2 linked regions of the Styela clava genome follow. The protein of the gene in region 1 interacts with the protein of each later gene in a biochemical or structural test. Links are inferred from orthologs where the notes say so. Each region holds a gene or a part of one and is shown in the gene's direction. Other genes may lie near its edges. The genes, in order: E3 SUMO-protein ligase RanBP2-like and ran GTPase-activating protein 1-like.

Region 1 (7,653 bases):
TATTCCAGGGTCAAGGGTCGGGGAAACAACCTGTTCCCCTTGTCATAATGGCGCGAGAGTTTCTCTATGTCCAATGTGGCCAATCGCCAATCTGCCAATGGCTGAAATGAGCCAGGTGTATATCAATAGTTCAACTGAAATCATAAAACGGTACCAGGTGTATGCGGTTCTGATCTTTGGCTATTATTAGCATAATATTATTATGATAATATACACCTGTTACCGGTACCGTACAGTGTTACCTTACCGGTAACGGTAACAGTACTGTGTTACGATCGGTTTGGGAGAAAATAGAAAGACTGAAAGATAGATACCGCCATACCGGTACTGTGTTGCGATCGGTTTGGGAGAAAATAGAAAGACTGAAAGATAGATACCGCCATACAGCCATACCGGTCCCAGTTCCGGTAATTTATTTTGAAAATTCCACATTAATACAGTACGGTACCGGTACAGCGGTACAGATTAAAAATAGAGAATTCTATAGAGCGAGTAAAACTTCCAAGTTTAAAACATGAGAAAGAATACCGGTACCAAAAACAAAATTACGGTAGGGCCTACTTAAATTTATTAAACTGGGCTGTACAGTCCTCCGCTCAGCCGATTACGAGATATCTTGTTGGACAGTTGGATCCATATCATACAATAAACACATTCTGACATTTGTCTCGTGAACGAGAGCACCTGATACCGGTATGACTATAAATCTGACAAATGCATGAAATACCTGAATGTGTTAACTAGATGGTAATACTTGTCACATTACTGCATTACAGCATTAAAACTGTAGCCTAATAACATATAGCTTACCTGTATCAATAAGATCAATCGCGATGTGCAGATGTGCAGATGTGCATCGGCCATGGCCATTCAGCCATTAGCCTGCCATATCACCAAAATTCATAGTTGCTATTTGGTGATAATAAAAATCACTACAGCATTACCAGCATTACCGTATGGCACACTATACAGATCGAGCGACATTGTCTCGTTCCAGAGACACCCATTTTACAGATGATCAGACACCCCTCTTTTGGGAGAGGAAGCTGATTTTTTTCTTCTAATTTTTCCCAATTAGCTTCAATTATTACCTAATGCTGTAATGGCCTCTTTAATATCCCAAACATGTTAACACGCTTTTCCCTAACTTAACCAACATACCTGGCAATGATAAAGCAAATCTTGTTGATCGATTTCTTCTTTACTATTGCCTTCACAACATTATTGAGCTGCACAAATCGTCTTAATAATGGATGATGCAGTGCAAGAAAATTACATCCGTCTACGGGCTTCCTAGTTTCATCTTATCACAGTATCATGAATTTCAGAATTTGTTTGAGCAAACGGACGTTTTTTCATTTAAGTTTGGAGATCTATTTGTAGTCCTATTTCAGTATTTGTAATTTCATTCCAAGGCAGTTTTAGGTTGTCTGTTCCACCAGACACTTTGAGATATATGTCTGTTCCTCATGTTTTCCCATGATCGCACACAACAAGTGCACGAAGAGAAAGAAAAAAGTGTGAAAAGCATGTCATGAAATCCTACAGGAGTGGTGACTCCTCTACGGCCTATGGGCCGGGGCCACGGCCCATCTAATTGGGTCACATGGGCCGTGGCCCATAGCTTGATGGGCCGCGGCCCCATCAGGAAAAAATCGATTATCTTAACAAAATTTTTAATTTTTACCAAACTGTCAATATTCGAACCAAAAAAATATACTCCTGTAGTATGTGTTCCAGGTTAGGGTTAGGACAAAAAAATTCAGATTTTTTACATTATAGTTCTATTATGAGTTCGGGGACTGTCTGTGTTAGCCAAGTGAATAGTTTCTTTACACAACTTGATGGGCCGCGGCCCATAGCCTGATGGGCCGAGGCCCAATTCGATGGGCTGTGGCCAACAACAAGTGCACGAAGAGAAAGAAAAAAGTGCGAAAAGCATGTCATGAAATCGAGTGAGCGAGAAAACGTAAAGTTTTGTTAACGTTTCATTATTGAATGAAAGTCTGTAGCAAACTAAAATACAACTTACGCAGAATTGGGTAAAGCAAGTAGAAATTTATGTCAGCATCAGGTGGCCAGATTGTATCACCAAACAAGCCGGATTTGGCTCACGGTCCGTAGTTTGCACATGTCAGGCTTAGAGTATTTCAATATACTGATATATTTTTTTTGTTTTCTAATATTTTTGAACACAGGCTGCCTGTTATAGGCTCTCACCTGTTGGCATTTACATTTACGTTATCCAAATTCCATTTTACAGTTTTTTTTAATACGGGTCGAGAGATGGACCTGTCATATGAGACTGCTTTATATTTAGCTGCACTAATAGCACCTGCTGCTTTATTTTCTTTAAAATATGCCTTCCGCCAATTCACTTCATTGGGAAGTGACAAAGTGGTTGTTATAACGGGGGCGAGTTCTGGTATTGGAAAAGAATGTGCTAAAGAATTTTTTAAAGCTGGTTGTCAAGTGATTTTATGTTCCAGGAATGTAGACAAATTGGAAGAATTAAAAAATGAGTTGATTAATATGAACAATTGTGAAGATAGGCCTGAACCTTGCGTGATTCCTCTAGATATTTCAAATGAACAGAGCATCCAGGATGCTGTTGATTCAGTGAATCGTAAATTTCCTGACGGAATTCATATATTAATTAACAATGCTGGGATGTCATATCGTGGTAACATTCTGAGTACTTCCATGGATGTTCACAAAAAGTTGATGGAAACAAATTACTTTGGGCATGTCTCCTTGACAACACGTCTTTTACCTAGTATGATTAAGTTGCCACATAGTTGTGAAAAATACAAAGCTCACATTTTGTCTATAAACAGTATACAGGGACAAATATCAATTCCACATCGATCAGCATACAGTGCATCTAAATTTGCATGCACAGCATTTTTTTCTTGTTTGCGTTCCGAAGTGGCACGTTTTGGAATAAATGTCTGCTCTGTTTATCCTGGATATGTTAAAACAAGTTTGTCTCTAAATGCCATGACTGGGGATGGTACCAATTACGGTAAAATGGATGCCACTACTGAAAGTGGAATGGAGCCTTGTAATATTGCGAAACAAGTTGTAAGCGCGATCCGCAATAATCAAGAAGAAGTTTCAATTGCGACTTTAAAATTAAGACTAGTAGTTTGGCTCCGATATTTGTTTCCTTCTATATTTTTTTGGATCATGAAAAAACGTGCTAATCGATAGATCTTCTTTCTTATATTAGTGTAGCTTTAAATTTCATTATCAGATCAAATTTTCATTATTTATTTCATATTGAAAATATGAATACCTTTTATTTTTTAGTCGGTCTTTTCTGTTGCTCATATAATGTATTTTGCTCAATTTAAAACAATATATCTTTCGATTTCATGCAATCCAGTCTTCAACCATTTCACTTCTGAATTTTCTTGGTAGAGATACATCCCACTGTAAGATTTCACAGCAATATTTCCAAGATTTTTCCCTCTTCAAGGTTATTAAAATATAGCTTATAAAAATTGACTACCGTAATTATTATAATAATAAATGCGAAAAGTGTAGATCGTGAAGTAAACCTTGGGAATAAACTTGCTAGTGAATGTGCTCAGTGATTTTTGATGGGCTTTCATACTTTATGCATAGCCTGATTATACTATAAGACATAAGTTTAATCAGGTTGCTTCATATGCTGTCTTGTATCCTGTGCTAATTACTTTTAAATTCTTGTTTGAGTTAAATCAATTTGAATGACTTCATTATCGTCATGAAAAGGAAAATGCAGTGTTTTTGTCCAATTTATAAAATTTGTAAACTGCGTATTATTAAAATTATCTTCATGTCATTTTTTGTTGTATACAAGATTTATTAAGTTTTATTTACTTAAATTTAAACTAGCATACTGTTATGTATGGCGAAAATCTCTTAGTGCGAGTATTTATTTCTATTTGCATTGGACTTTTTTTCCCCGAGACCGGGAGCTCAGGAGGCTGAAGTCCTCAGTCGTAGATATACATGCCGCTAATCCGAAATATATATAGGGGGCAATGTTGATACTTGTTTGATTTATTGATTTTACTATCAGATCTGTTTGTTTTCTTTAATGTAAATAGCCTGAATAACCCTAATCACTATCTATTGTGTATAAAATCAACCAAATACTGTTTTATCTGTTTGGATAATAGAATACCACCATAAGGTTGTTACAATACCACCATAAGGTTGTTTTTTTATAGATATATTTTTGACAATACATATCAAGTGTCAAAAAAAAATAGTGCAATAAAGCATTGCAGTATTCATCAATTATTTAATTTGGCTGAAGCATAATGATGATTCACTATACCTTGATTGGCTTTTGATGATGTAAATTCTTATTTTATTAGTTGTATCTAAACTACATTAAATTTAAATTTACCACTACTAATGTCAAGATCAATTGAACAAGTTGAAGCGCTTGTATCAAAAGCAGTGAGATATGCAAAATCTGAAAAAGAAGTAAGTAGTTTACCTTGTTGTATTAGTGCATTACATCTATTTTAGAAGTTGCATTGTAAAAATGTGAGGGAATTGTTTTTTTCTAGATTTTCCTAATTCTTAGGGAACCGACGGAATCAGACAGTGTGTAATTATCATATTGCAATAACACAAATTATGATTGTTCATCAGATATATTGGATCTCCGCATTAGGAGACCCTTATTCTCAATTGTTCTGTCTGTATAGCAGTAGCTGTCTAAACTTCCGGACCCAACCGGGTAAAATTTCTAAAGTGGGTTATGCAGTCACCCTAGTAATATGCTTTTCACCGAAAGTCCGGATTGTTGTTTTATTTCCATGGCATCAGTGAAAAACGTGATAATCATTGAGAAATTACTAGATCTTTCTTAATTTGTCGCCATTATTTCGTAAACTACCTTGAAAATATAAATTTTAGTGAACGTGATTAATTATACGCCGCAGTATATCGCTGATGAAAAAGATACCAACAAGACGTGCACCACTCAAAATGAATGCATCAACGGTTATCCTGGGCGCCTATCGACTTGTTTCATTTCGATTGGTGTCTGTTAAACGATTATGCTATAAGTGAAATTTTCTGAAGTTTGTACATTTACTCAGAGAAGGAACCCAATCACTCAACACTGTCATTAATAAGTTGTAAATCATGCTTTTTATTTATCATTTTCCAGCTTTCCATAAAGGGGCTCAATTTTGGTCGATGGTGGAATGAGGTTGGGGAATATGAGAAAGCTTCAAAATGGATTACTAGATATCTTGTTATTTATGACAAGGATGCAAAAGCTCACAAACTACTTGGCGAAATTTATGAAAAATTAGACAGAAGCGATGCCGCTCTTGCTTGTTACAAAAGCTCACTGCGGGTCAAACCACAGCAGGTGTGTATTTTCTTTTGAACTTTTGTTGTCTACTTATTGGCTTGTTGCTTCAGTTTTAAATGGAACTGTTAATGAAAGTTCCATCAATTCCACCAAGGAAATAATTACAGTAGTTACCGGTAGTTCATAAGTCTACCTCGACCTGAACTCTATATTCAAGCATTGATTCATTATACCATTTGCTTATCTGAATTTAGTTTCAGTGTCTTATCATATCAGAAATTTGATATCAAGCAAGCAACTGTATGGTGGCATGTAATATTAGTAATACAATGATAATTTTCGAAATTTAGTTTCAGCTTGTTCATTTATACAGTCACGTTTGTCCAAAGTTATTGATCAGTGAATTTGGTTGATCACTTTTCCTTGTCCCATACTTGAATCAATACCACGAATAAAACAAACTTTTATCCTTCATTGCTTATACTTGTTATGCATTTCTGAAATGTATCTGATCATTATTTTTGTTTTAATGAGTTTATTCTTGTTTTCAATAATCAACTAATGACAAAATAGAATACTTCTTGAATGAATTATTGAAAATTTTCAAATATAAAAAATATCTATCTGTCCCATTGCTGTAAAATAAGTTTTGTGTTTTGAATATTTGATCACTGTTATTAACGATATAATATACCAGTATTTCTAGCAAAAACTGCTAATATACGGTTCCGGATTTTAGCAATATTTCAAGATGCACTGGGACTCCTGATGGATTGGGACTCCAGGGATTGAAAAAAAGAGTGATTATATCATTATCCCTAATCAAAACCAGTGTTCATAACTTGTCACCTGCAAAGGAGCACAAAGAGAAAAACACTGATATGTTCAATTATGTCATGGACTTCTTTGTTATATTTCAGTACGAGCTGATGTTGAAGGTAGCAGAAATGCACATTAATCCTGGACCAACACAGAATCCAAATCGAGCACAAGTTTGGTTGGATAAAGCGGCAGTTGCTTTACCTAATCATCCACAAGTCTACAAACTAAAGGTATGAACGTTTTAGATAACAGTTACGTTTTCTACATGTTTTTGTGCGTCAGAAAATGTATCTAATTCAATTGTAAAAAACTGTTTTACAATCATAATGAACGTTAGAATAAATATTTCGGTACACCGCTCAAAAGTTTATCCCATGTCCTATGAATGATCAAACTAAAATTTGATATATAAAAATGAATAATATTGTTATTTTGTTAATTAATTCACATTTTTCCAATTATCACTTTGAGTAGGTATATCTCATGTGATATATTGTGGACTACTGCCATTGTTGTAACTTGGCTACACTTATTTCAATGACTTTCTATTTTAGATGGAACTATATCTTGCACAAGAAGCTCCTTCTTCCAGACTCGAAGAGACTATTCTTCAAGAACTGAAGAAGCGGCCAAATGATCCGTCACTTTATGTTGAATACGTTACTTTTTTGAAGGTGTGTGGCAAAAAATGTTTTCTATGTTTGATAAAGAAATTACTGAATTATTAAATTTGCTTCTCAGAATCAAGAAAGACTAAATGAAGCTTTTGCTTTCGTGGAAAAAATAGAACATGACTATTCAATACCGAAAGTTGTGGAAAAGGATATGGAATGGAACCAATGTCTGGTTGATACATGCAAGGTATGAAGCTAGAAAAATACTGTCGAATGAATTGTTAGGAATTGCATCTGAACAATGTTTGTGGTTTCATTCCTATCTATTCGGCTTATTATTAATGTACTTGTTGGTATTACGGGTAACAAATCTCACTCACTCACTCACGGGCCATGTAAGTGTGACGTAACAAGTTAAATTTTATGAACAATATTAACAGTTTTGCAAAAGTAGAAAACATTAGGCTTGTGCCAAAACTAAAGTTAGTCGTAATCTCAACAAATTCCTTGAGCTATTTTTCCACTTGAACATCAAAATTTGGTTTAGTTTGTCTGTGGCAGCATCAGGCGGGCCAGAATGAATTGGCCGAATTTGTCCTGCGGGCCGTAGTTTACCTGTTTCAGCTGTATATTGTAGACTTCTCAATTTGAATGGAACACAACAGAAATATTCTAGCACAAAGGAATTTCAATTCCCTAGCTTTGTCAAACATCATTTCTATATTCTTGTTCATTAGGATTATGCAGAGCATATGAGTGATGATGATGTTACAGATGAATCTATTAAGGCATATTCTATGTTGTTGATAAGTTTATGTCGCAATGTTTGGTTATGCTTCGAGCAAGAAAAATACAACGAAGCATTGGAATTTCTGGCTTGGTAAGTTATGC
Region 2 (7,695 bases), on another chromosome or scaffold:
CGTTGTAAATTTACTTCGTTGACAAATGAGACAGATGGGTTTCCCATTTATCTCTGCAAAAGCAAATTCATTCATTGTTCCACGCAGAGTTAAAAACTCTGTTTCCGTCGTTTAATTTCTCTTCGTTGTCGCCATGACTTAGTGCCTTCAAGCTGGACGCAGTGTAACACCGTTTTGAAGCGCGTTTCCGAAGGTATATGGAGGGTGCAATGAGCGAGCTAAGTAACTCAATTTTTACGTAACAATACGTAATTATGTTCTATGATTATTATTTTTTCATCATTTATTTATTTTTACAAAACTGTTATGAATCCACAACGTGGACCTTTAAAAAAAAAAAAAAAAAAAAAACAATACGTAATTAATCTATTTGCTGTGATGACATAATCCATAATCTTATCATGCGCTGTAAGGGTTGAGAAGAATGATACCGAATTAAAAAATCGTTTATATTCGTTACGCCGCAGATATTATGATATGTTTGGGTTCATCAAAGATCTTTGGGGGGCCGCAGAATACGCATCGACGGGTTGAGAACCCCTGTTATGTAGCATGGCTCAAACCACAGACAGAGGGTTATTATACCAGAGCCATTACCGTATATAATAGCTCTGATTATACTTTGTGATTTCACGAGTGTTTCATTCCAGCCAGTATTCCGTTTCATTCCGCCATGGTTTTGCGTTTGTTTGTATATTAAACCACTTATCACCTTTTCCGCAATGCCCAATCTAGCAATCAGTGTAGTTTTTCATGGCTTGGTTTTTCTTAAAGCTTTCATGGCCTCATGAGTATGACTATCGTCGCAAATTTATTACATTCCACTCCCCACATTATCTTTGCATGAGGTTGTAGGTATTGGTCATTATCAACGTAATTGTTGAAAGAGAGTACAACAGCCCGAAAGTTTATTAGTATTACTATCGTGTATTTTGTTTTTTAAGTTTGGCCCAAGCCTCATTTAATTGGGCTTGTGTTTTTGTGTGCGTGCTGGTGGGCAGGCACATGAGATACTTCATGTTTTAAACTTTTTTGTAGGTTTTGCTTGCCCTCCAGAATTCTCCATTTTAAATTTAGGTTTGTTATGGAGTTTTCGAAATAAACTATCTATCTAAGAACAAGATAGATTTTCACGCACGCCGCCGCCGCTGCATGTGGGTCACGAAGTACCGGTAGCCTCTTTTTGGCAAAGTCAAAAAGTTTTGATTTGGCGCGCTTAGCAAAAAAGGTACTCATCGTGCGTTTAGAGATGTGTGTTACTGTATTATCCGGACCTCAACTACCGTATCAGACTCTGTAATTTCTAATGAAACTTTTTTCTGTGAATTGAGATTTGACTGAGTTTATGTAGTACGGTACATACCGGTACGGTACGGTAGTATGTGGACAATGCCGGTACAAGACATACGGGAATCTAAGTTTAATCTGTTCTGATGAATTTTTGACCGGTTACCGTAAATAAATAATAATACATTGTGTCAAATTTATAGCGTATGGGGAACATTTTTGGGGTCTCGTGTAGTTTCTTACCTAACATACTTCTAGTGGGCGTAGCATCATAATTTTTTGACATGTCAATCCTAACCCCCACCAGACTATGCCATCCAAAAATTACGTCACTACGACATCACAAACACGTCATAGAGCTTGTTAAATATACGTACTATCGCCCGATATGGCGCCGGTGCCTTCGTAGAGACGTAATATTTGGATGGCATAGTCGGGTCTGCAGGTGGGGGTTAGGATTGACACATGAAAAAATTGTTGTGCTACGCCCACTAGAAGTATGTTAGGTAGAAAACTACATGAGACCCCATTTTTGTTTGTTTGCTCTTTTGGTTAGCTTATTCAGTTATTCCTGTATTCTGTCTAATATTTTTTGCATTGATCGTTTTTTGCCTTATGTGTAACGCTTTACAGTTGTACCGGTATAAATTTGAGAATATATCAAAATAAGTTTATTCACCATCTGCAGATCTGTACTGGTATTACATCTGTACATATATATCAGTGTATCTAAAAAAATATGATTTTAAAACTTTCACAGATATAGCTATGCATTCATTGAATTTCTGAAAAGTGATTCAATCTGTCAATGGAGCTCTTCTTGTCTCGTGTGACTGGAGATAAAAACAGTGGAAATAAAGGTCCTGATCAATGGATTCCATTTTCAACAAAGGTGAATGATGTGGTAACACTTGGTCGATCATCAGATTTACCTATACGATTGTTATCACAACATGTTTCTAGAACACATGCAGAAATATTGAAAAAGAAAGATGAAAACTTTTACATTAAAGACCTAAATTCATTGAATGGAATACACGTCAATGGTGTTAAAATTGAGAACTCTAACTGGCATCGTCTTAGTGCTGGTGATAAAGTGGAGATTGGTAGACCTGATGATGAGGAAATTTTAAAAACAATGAGCGCCAATGATCGATTTATTTATAATGTGTTATCTGCAACCAATTCGGAATTAGACAGCAAACCACGGGGGCCAAAGACGCATATGTCTGAATCTTTAAAAAAAGATTATTTAAAGCTGCATCCAGCAAAAAGTAAAAGACTTGCTAATGGTGCTTCAAAACAAGTAGAATATAAAAAATCCAAAAATAAAAATGCCAAAATTGTTAAAATAAATGTTCCAACAGTTGACCACGAAACAAATTGTAATGATAAAATGGTACATTCCACTGGAAAAAATAAAAATAAAAAAATGAAAATTGAAACTCAATCAGAAACAAATCATGAAATGGAACGAGAAAATAAAAGATTAAAACTACAGCTCGAGGAGAAAGAACAAGCTTTGAAAGAAGAAATTAATTTGCGAAACAAAAGAATTGAAGACGAACAAAAGAAAATTACACAAAAGCTTGAGCAAAATTTCAAAACCAAACTTGTAGAGAAGGAAGAAGAATTAGAGATGAGGCTTCAACTAGAAAAAGACATTGCATTTGAGCAGTGTAAAGCATCATTTGAAAAGGATAAGGTAAATTCTTCAACTATCAAAACGGTGGTAGATACAATGGAAAATGAACTTCAGTGTGCAATTTGCTCAGAGTTATTCATTGTTTCAACGACATTGAACTGTGCTCACACATTTTGTGAATATTGTATTAATGAGTGGAAAAACGTTAATAGTATTTGTCCAGTTTGTAGGCAGCCCATATTGACATTGACACGATCTCTTGTTCTGGATAATTATATTTCTAAAGCTCTCGAAGGTATTTCTCCTGTTCTTAAAGAAAAAAGAGAGAAAATTATTGAGGAGAGAATGAAAATTGAATCTGAAATTGCCAAAAATAAAGCAAATAGGGGGCGTGGGCGTGGTTCGAGGGGTGGTCGGGGTCGAGGAAGAAGAGTACCTAACTCTCCTATCGACCTGAGTAGATCAAACAATGATGACAGAGAAGGCCACTCACGGTATCGCACTCGATCTCGAAATATTATAATAGTAAGCGATGTTGAATCATCAGATTCTGAGGAGAGTGATTCTTATTCTGACAGCGATAGTTCTAATGAATTTGGAAGGATCACTTTCTTTTATTGAATTGTAGCAACTTTATTTCACATATATAGGCAATATGGAATTACTTCACATTTATGGAAATCAATCATAGAGTTAAATTGCCAAATGGGATCAATTTTTTAAAATCAGCTAAAGCTGAAAAGCCTTGGGAGAAAATTTGACAGACAAATAAAGTGATAGCTTCTGAGGTGACATTTCCATCCACTAAAAGTTTCAAACAATTGGTTCATTATTTCAAAAACTAATGGCATCGGCGAATACAATTTTGCAATGTGCAATTCAAGTCTGTTGGAATAAAAGCCATAAATATATTTTCTTCAAGTTGAAATGATTGTATGTTTGATTAGATTTTAAAACAGTATCTCACTGTTTTTCATCAGCATTCACATGTGTCTATCTTCTGTGCCTGAAAGACCTTTTAGATCTAGCGTAGCTGCAGCACATGTAAAATATATATAATGTACAACAACAACACTCATATTGGAGAAGTAAATTTCCACGAATTCCTTACCCTCGCTTTCCTATGTCAAAATTATGCTTGAAATGATTTCATCGGACAGTGTTCTCTTATATATATATATTGCCATTGTTATATTGGTGTAATATGGTATTGAGTATTTAATTATAATAGGGTAAAAGTATTTGGTGTTCGGATAAGTTTTTGTCAGGTTGTTGTATATGTTTTTTTGCATTTTGAATTTCTTTTTGTTAACTGCTTTATATGTTCAATGAAATATGAATATTCATTGTTTTATTTGTTATTGCTGAAACATTTTCTTAACAAAATAAAAACACCAGTATGTTCGTTCTTATGATACTTCATTTTGTTCAAATTGGTTTTTTCCTAGGTAGCTTATTTTTTTTAGGAGTACGAGATACTTGAAAACGAAGGAGCATCAGTTTATCACATTATATTATGCTGCTTATTTCTATGAGAAACAGTGACCCGCTTTCTTATTTCAAGCTTGGCTACATTGTTTCAGAAAAGTCTTTTGTAATGAACTTTTATTGTATAAATATTTACTTTTTGATTTGTTGCCTTCTGCTTTCACAAAACATGTAGTTGTGATACCAAGTTGATAAAATATTTTCTTATTTTTTGTCTAAGCTATTCATTCGGTTCTCCAGCCACTGTATATATTCAAATAAATTAACTGTATAATAAAATAAACCTCTAAAACCGCTAAGAGTGAATCAAAAATATGTCAAAAAATGACAAAGTCGATGAAATTGCCTCCTTGTTACAAAAAACTGAAGTTCGACAGCAAAATATTGTCAGTTTCAAAGGACAGGGATTAAAACTGAATAATGAAGAAGATGCCAAGAAAGTTATACAAGCTATTCGTGACTGTCCAGATCTACAGGTACTTGTTGCCTTGGCCTAATTAAACAATTTTTGTAATAGATTAGTAAAAGATTTACAAATATGCCCTAACCATAATTTCAGAAATATGAATCTTGACTGAAACTCCTTTTTGAACCAGCTAAGGAATATTCAAAACAATTCGAAATTAATTATATGCAGTATTTCAATTTATTGATTTTAAAAATTAATGTGCTTTGATAAAAAAATTATCATTTTGAAATAAAGGGCTTCATTTATTTGTTAGAAACTCTAAAAAAAAAAATGAAGAACCATTAAATTACTGATCATCTTACATTTTCAAACTCATTGACACTCATCAACTTCCATATGTGTATTGGGCATAGTAGGTTCGGTTTTGACCATTCTACACCTGCTATTACAATTTTTAATTCAAAAATTGATTAATTTGACGAAATCACAGCAAATAATGGATTTTTCTATGTTCAGGTGCTTGAATTATGTGGAAACACAATAGGTGTGGAAGCTGCAAAAGCCATTGCTGATTCTTTAGATGATCGTAAAGAACTCGAAAGATGTTTATGGGCAGATATGTTTACAGGTTAATCAAATAACTTTAATTGTTACTCGCGTTATAGCCGGCAGAACAATTTTACTTTTGGTGTATACTAAACAATTGGCAACTATTTGTATTTATTGGCAGAACATTTATGAGTTTCTTTCTTATTAATGTCTTTTGCAGACACCACTCAACAGATGATATAAGTCGCGCCGCGCCATCTCAACTTTGCACCTTAATTAATCTCGCGTCAAGCAACTCCTTATTTAGAAAGACATTTTGTGCCTTCATTTTTGTAAAAAACTCCTCTATTTTTAAACGTGGGACATATAACAGCAGTAACGAAACGCAGAACTGACTTAGCGGCGCGTGATCCAGCTTTTGGTTTAGCTAGATCCCGAAATCCTAATTCTGAGTCAAACTTGGTCATTTTTGAACGATAGCACAAGGCCTGCTCACGCTGCAAGTTATCAAATTAGTCAAATATAACAATTCATCATAAAATGAGTCTCAGAAGAAAGGTGACATAGGAAAACCGGGAGTAAACATAATATTTCCTTGCCCACAACAACGGTAAACCACAGTACAGTGTCTGGTCTGCTTTTAAGTGATATCTGTCATGGAAGAATATAATTTGAATCAACACTACAAAACTAAAAACGAAAAAAGATATGGAAGTTAAGTTACCATAGTACCTTTCGGGAAGCAATTTTAAAACAACTAAAGGCTTTGTATATCTTCCTTAAAATAAAAAATGCAACCCATGCATAGGCTAATTAGAACGGTAAACTGTCATTCTTTAATATAATTACAGTAAGCTCGCGATATTCTGATCACTTTTGGGTTTTTCCAACTGTGCCCCGCTAGACCTCAAAAGTTTTTGCCTCCCTTCAACCTTGGACCACCCTGATCTCTGATTATAATTTTTCAGTTGTTTTCATTTTTTTTTTATAGGACGTTTGAGAAGTGAAATTCCTCCGTCACTGACTTCACTCGGTTCTTCAATTATGAAAGCTGGAGCACACTTGGTTGAAATAGATCTCAGTGATAACGCTTTTGGACCTATCGGAATTAAGTCTATTGCTGAGTTATTGAAAAGCGAGGCATCTTATACTCTTCGGGTACTTCTATTTTTTACGATTTCACTAAGAGTGTAGGTTTAAAAAAATTATTTTAAGACATTTTAAAAAATTGTGAAAATAAATTTAAAGAACTTTTTCATGGAACTGACTGCGAGAGGTTATTTTACACAATTACCTTTTATCCCAAACTATTTTTTCTAAAAATTCAGATAAAACTAAATATCTAGGATCAGTGGCACTGGAATGTTTAATTGTAGGTATCCTTTTACTTTGATTTTCTGATTTGGAATAGGGTGTTCCCGATTTATGGTAAACTGCATTGTCAGGGTTTATGACCCTGCGTCAAGTATATTTAAAAGTTCTAAAATTCATTTGAAATATTTTTTCTCTGTTTGAAATGACCAGGTTCTTAAGTTCAATAACAATGGCATGGGGATCGGAGGAAAAACTTTGGCAGAAACACTTATTGAATGTCATAGAAGGAGCAGTGCTTGTGGAAAACCACTTGCTCTGAAAGTTTTTATTGCAGGAAGAAACAGGTGAGAGAGTTGTTTTTGTTCGCTTAAATTGATATTCTGGTTCATATCTGCAATCCGAGTCTATTTTCAAGACCTAAATAATTAATGAAACATGGTAAAACATAATCTTCAGAAAAATTCGATATTTCCTTTTGTAACAAGAATAAAATTATACTGAAAGTAGTTTGCCACAGGGATGTCCAAAACGAATCGATTGTTCGAATGTTCACTGAACGACGTAAGTACTTCTGTGTGGCGCGGCACAACCATTTTTGCATAAGGTACTCCTAACCCCCACCTGGCTTCATCATCTAAAGATTACGTCACTATGACCTCACAATCATGTCAAGGAGTTTGTTTGCAAGAGTGTAGCTACGATCGCCGAAAATGACATCCTTGCCAACGATAACGAACTCAATAACGCCAGCGATCTCTCTCATATCCGGATCCTTCCGGCGAGAAAACGAGAGAAATAGCTTGCTAGATTTCGACTGATTGCCTGCGTGTCTTGGATGACAGTTGAGATAGTTTGGAGGGCCTTATACGTTGCTGTGACGTTGTAGTGTCGTAATTTTTAAATGACGTAGTCAGGTGGGGCCGGGGGTTAGGAATAACATATGCAAAAATGGTTGTGCCACGCCAACTAGAAGGACTTACGTCGTGTTGTGAACATGGTCCCA

Evidence for each region.
Region 2: the proteins of E3 SUMO-protein ligase RanBP2-like (region 1) and ran GTPase-activating protein 1-like form a complex in vitro, tested with the Homo sapiens proteins (5 studies listed by BioGRID and IntAct, with this or other methods). The link is inferred for Styela clava from reciprocal best matches to the Homo sapiens genes RANBP2 and RANGAP1.

What each region holds. Positions count from the first base shown.
Region 1 is NC_135258.1:17,858,123-17,865,775, reverse strand, and holds the start of E3 SUMO-protein ligase RanBP2-like, read left to right. Parts: upstream 1-4,368; 5' UTR 4,369-4,410; coding exon 4,411-4,482; intron 4,483-5,176; coding exon 5,177-5,383; intron 5,384-6,246; coding exon 6,247-6,378; intron 6,379-6,702; coding exon 6,703-6,822; intron 6,823-6,889; coding exon 6,890-7,009; intron 7,010-7,499; coding exon 7,500-7,642; intron 7,643-7,653. Other genes in the region: dehydrogenase/reductase SDR family protein 7-like, read left to right, coding at 2,287-3,213. UniProt on the Homo sapiens protein: E3 SUMO-protein ligase which facilitates SUMO1 and SUMO2 conjugation by UBE2I. Involved in transport factor (Ran-GTP, karyopherin)-mediated protein import via the F-G repeat-containing domain which acts as a docking site for substrates.
Region 2 is NC_135253.1:16,789,930-16,797,624, reverse strand, and holds the start of ran GTPase-activating protein 1-like, read left to right. Parts: upstream 1-4,613; 5' UTR 4,614-4,734; coding exon 4,735-4,896; intron 4,897-5,345; coding exon 5,346-5,457; intron 5,458-6,369; coding exon 6,370-6,536; intron 6,537-6,902; coding exon 6,903-7,036; intron 7,037-7,695. Other genes in the region: uncharacterized protein LOC120327195, read left to right, coding at 2,096-3,553. UniProt on the Homo sapiens protein: GTPase activator for RAN. Converts cytoplasmic GTP-bound RAN to GDP-bound RAN, which is essential for RAN-mediated nuclear import and export. Mediates dissociation of cargo from nuclear export complexes containing XPO1, RAN and RANBP2 after nuclear export.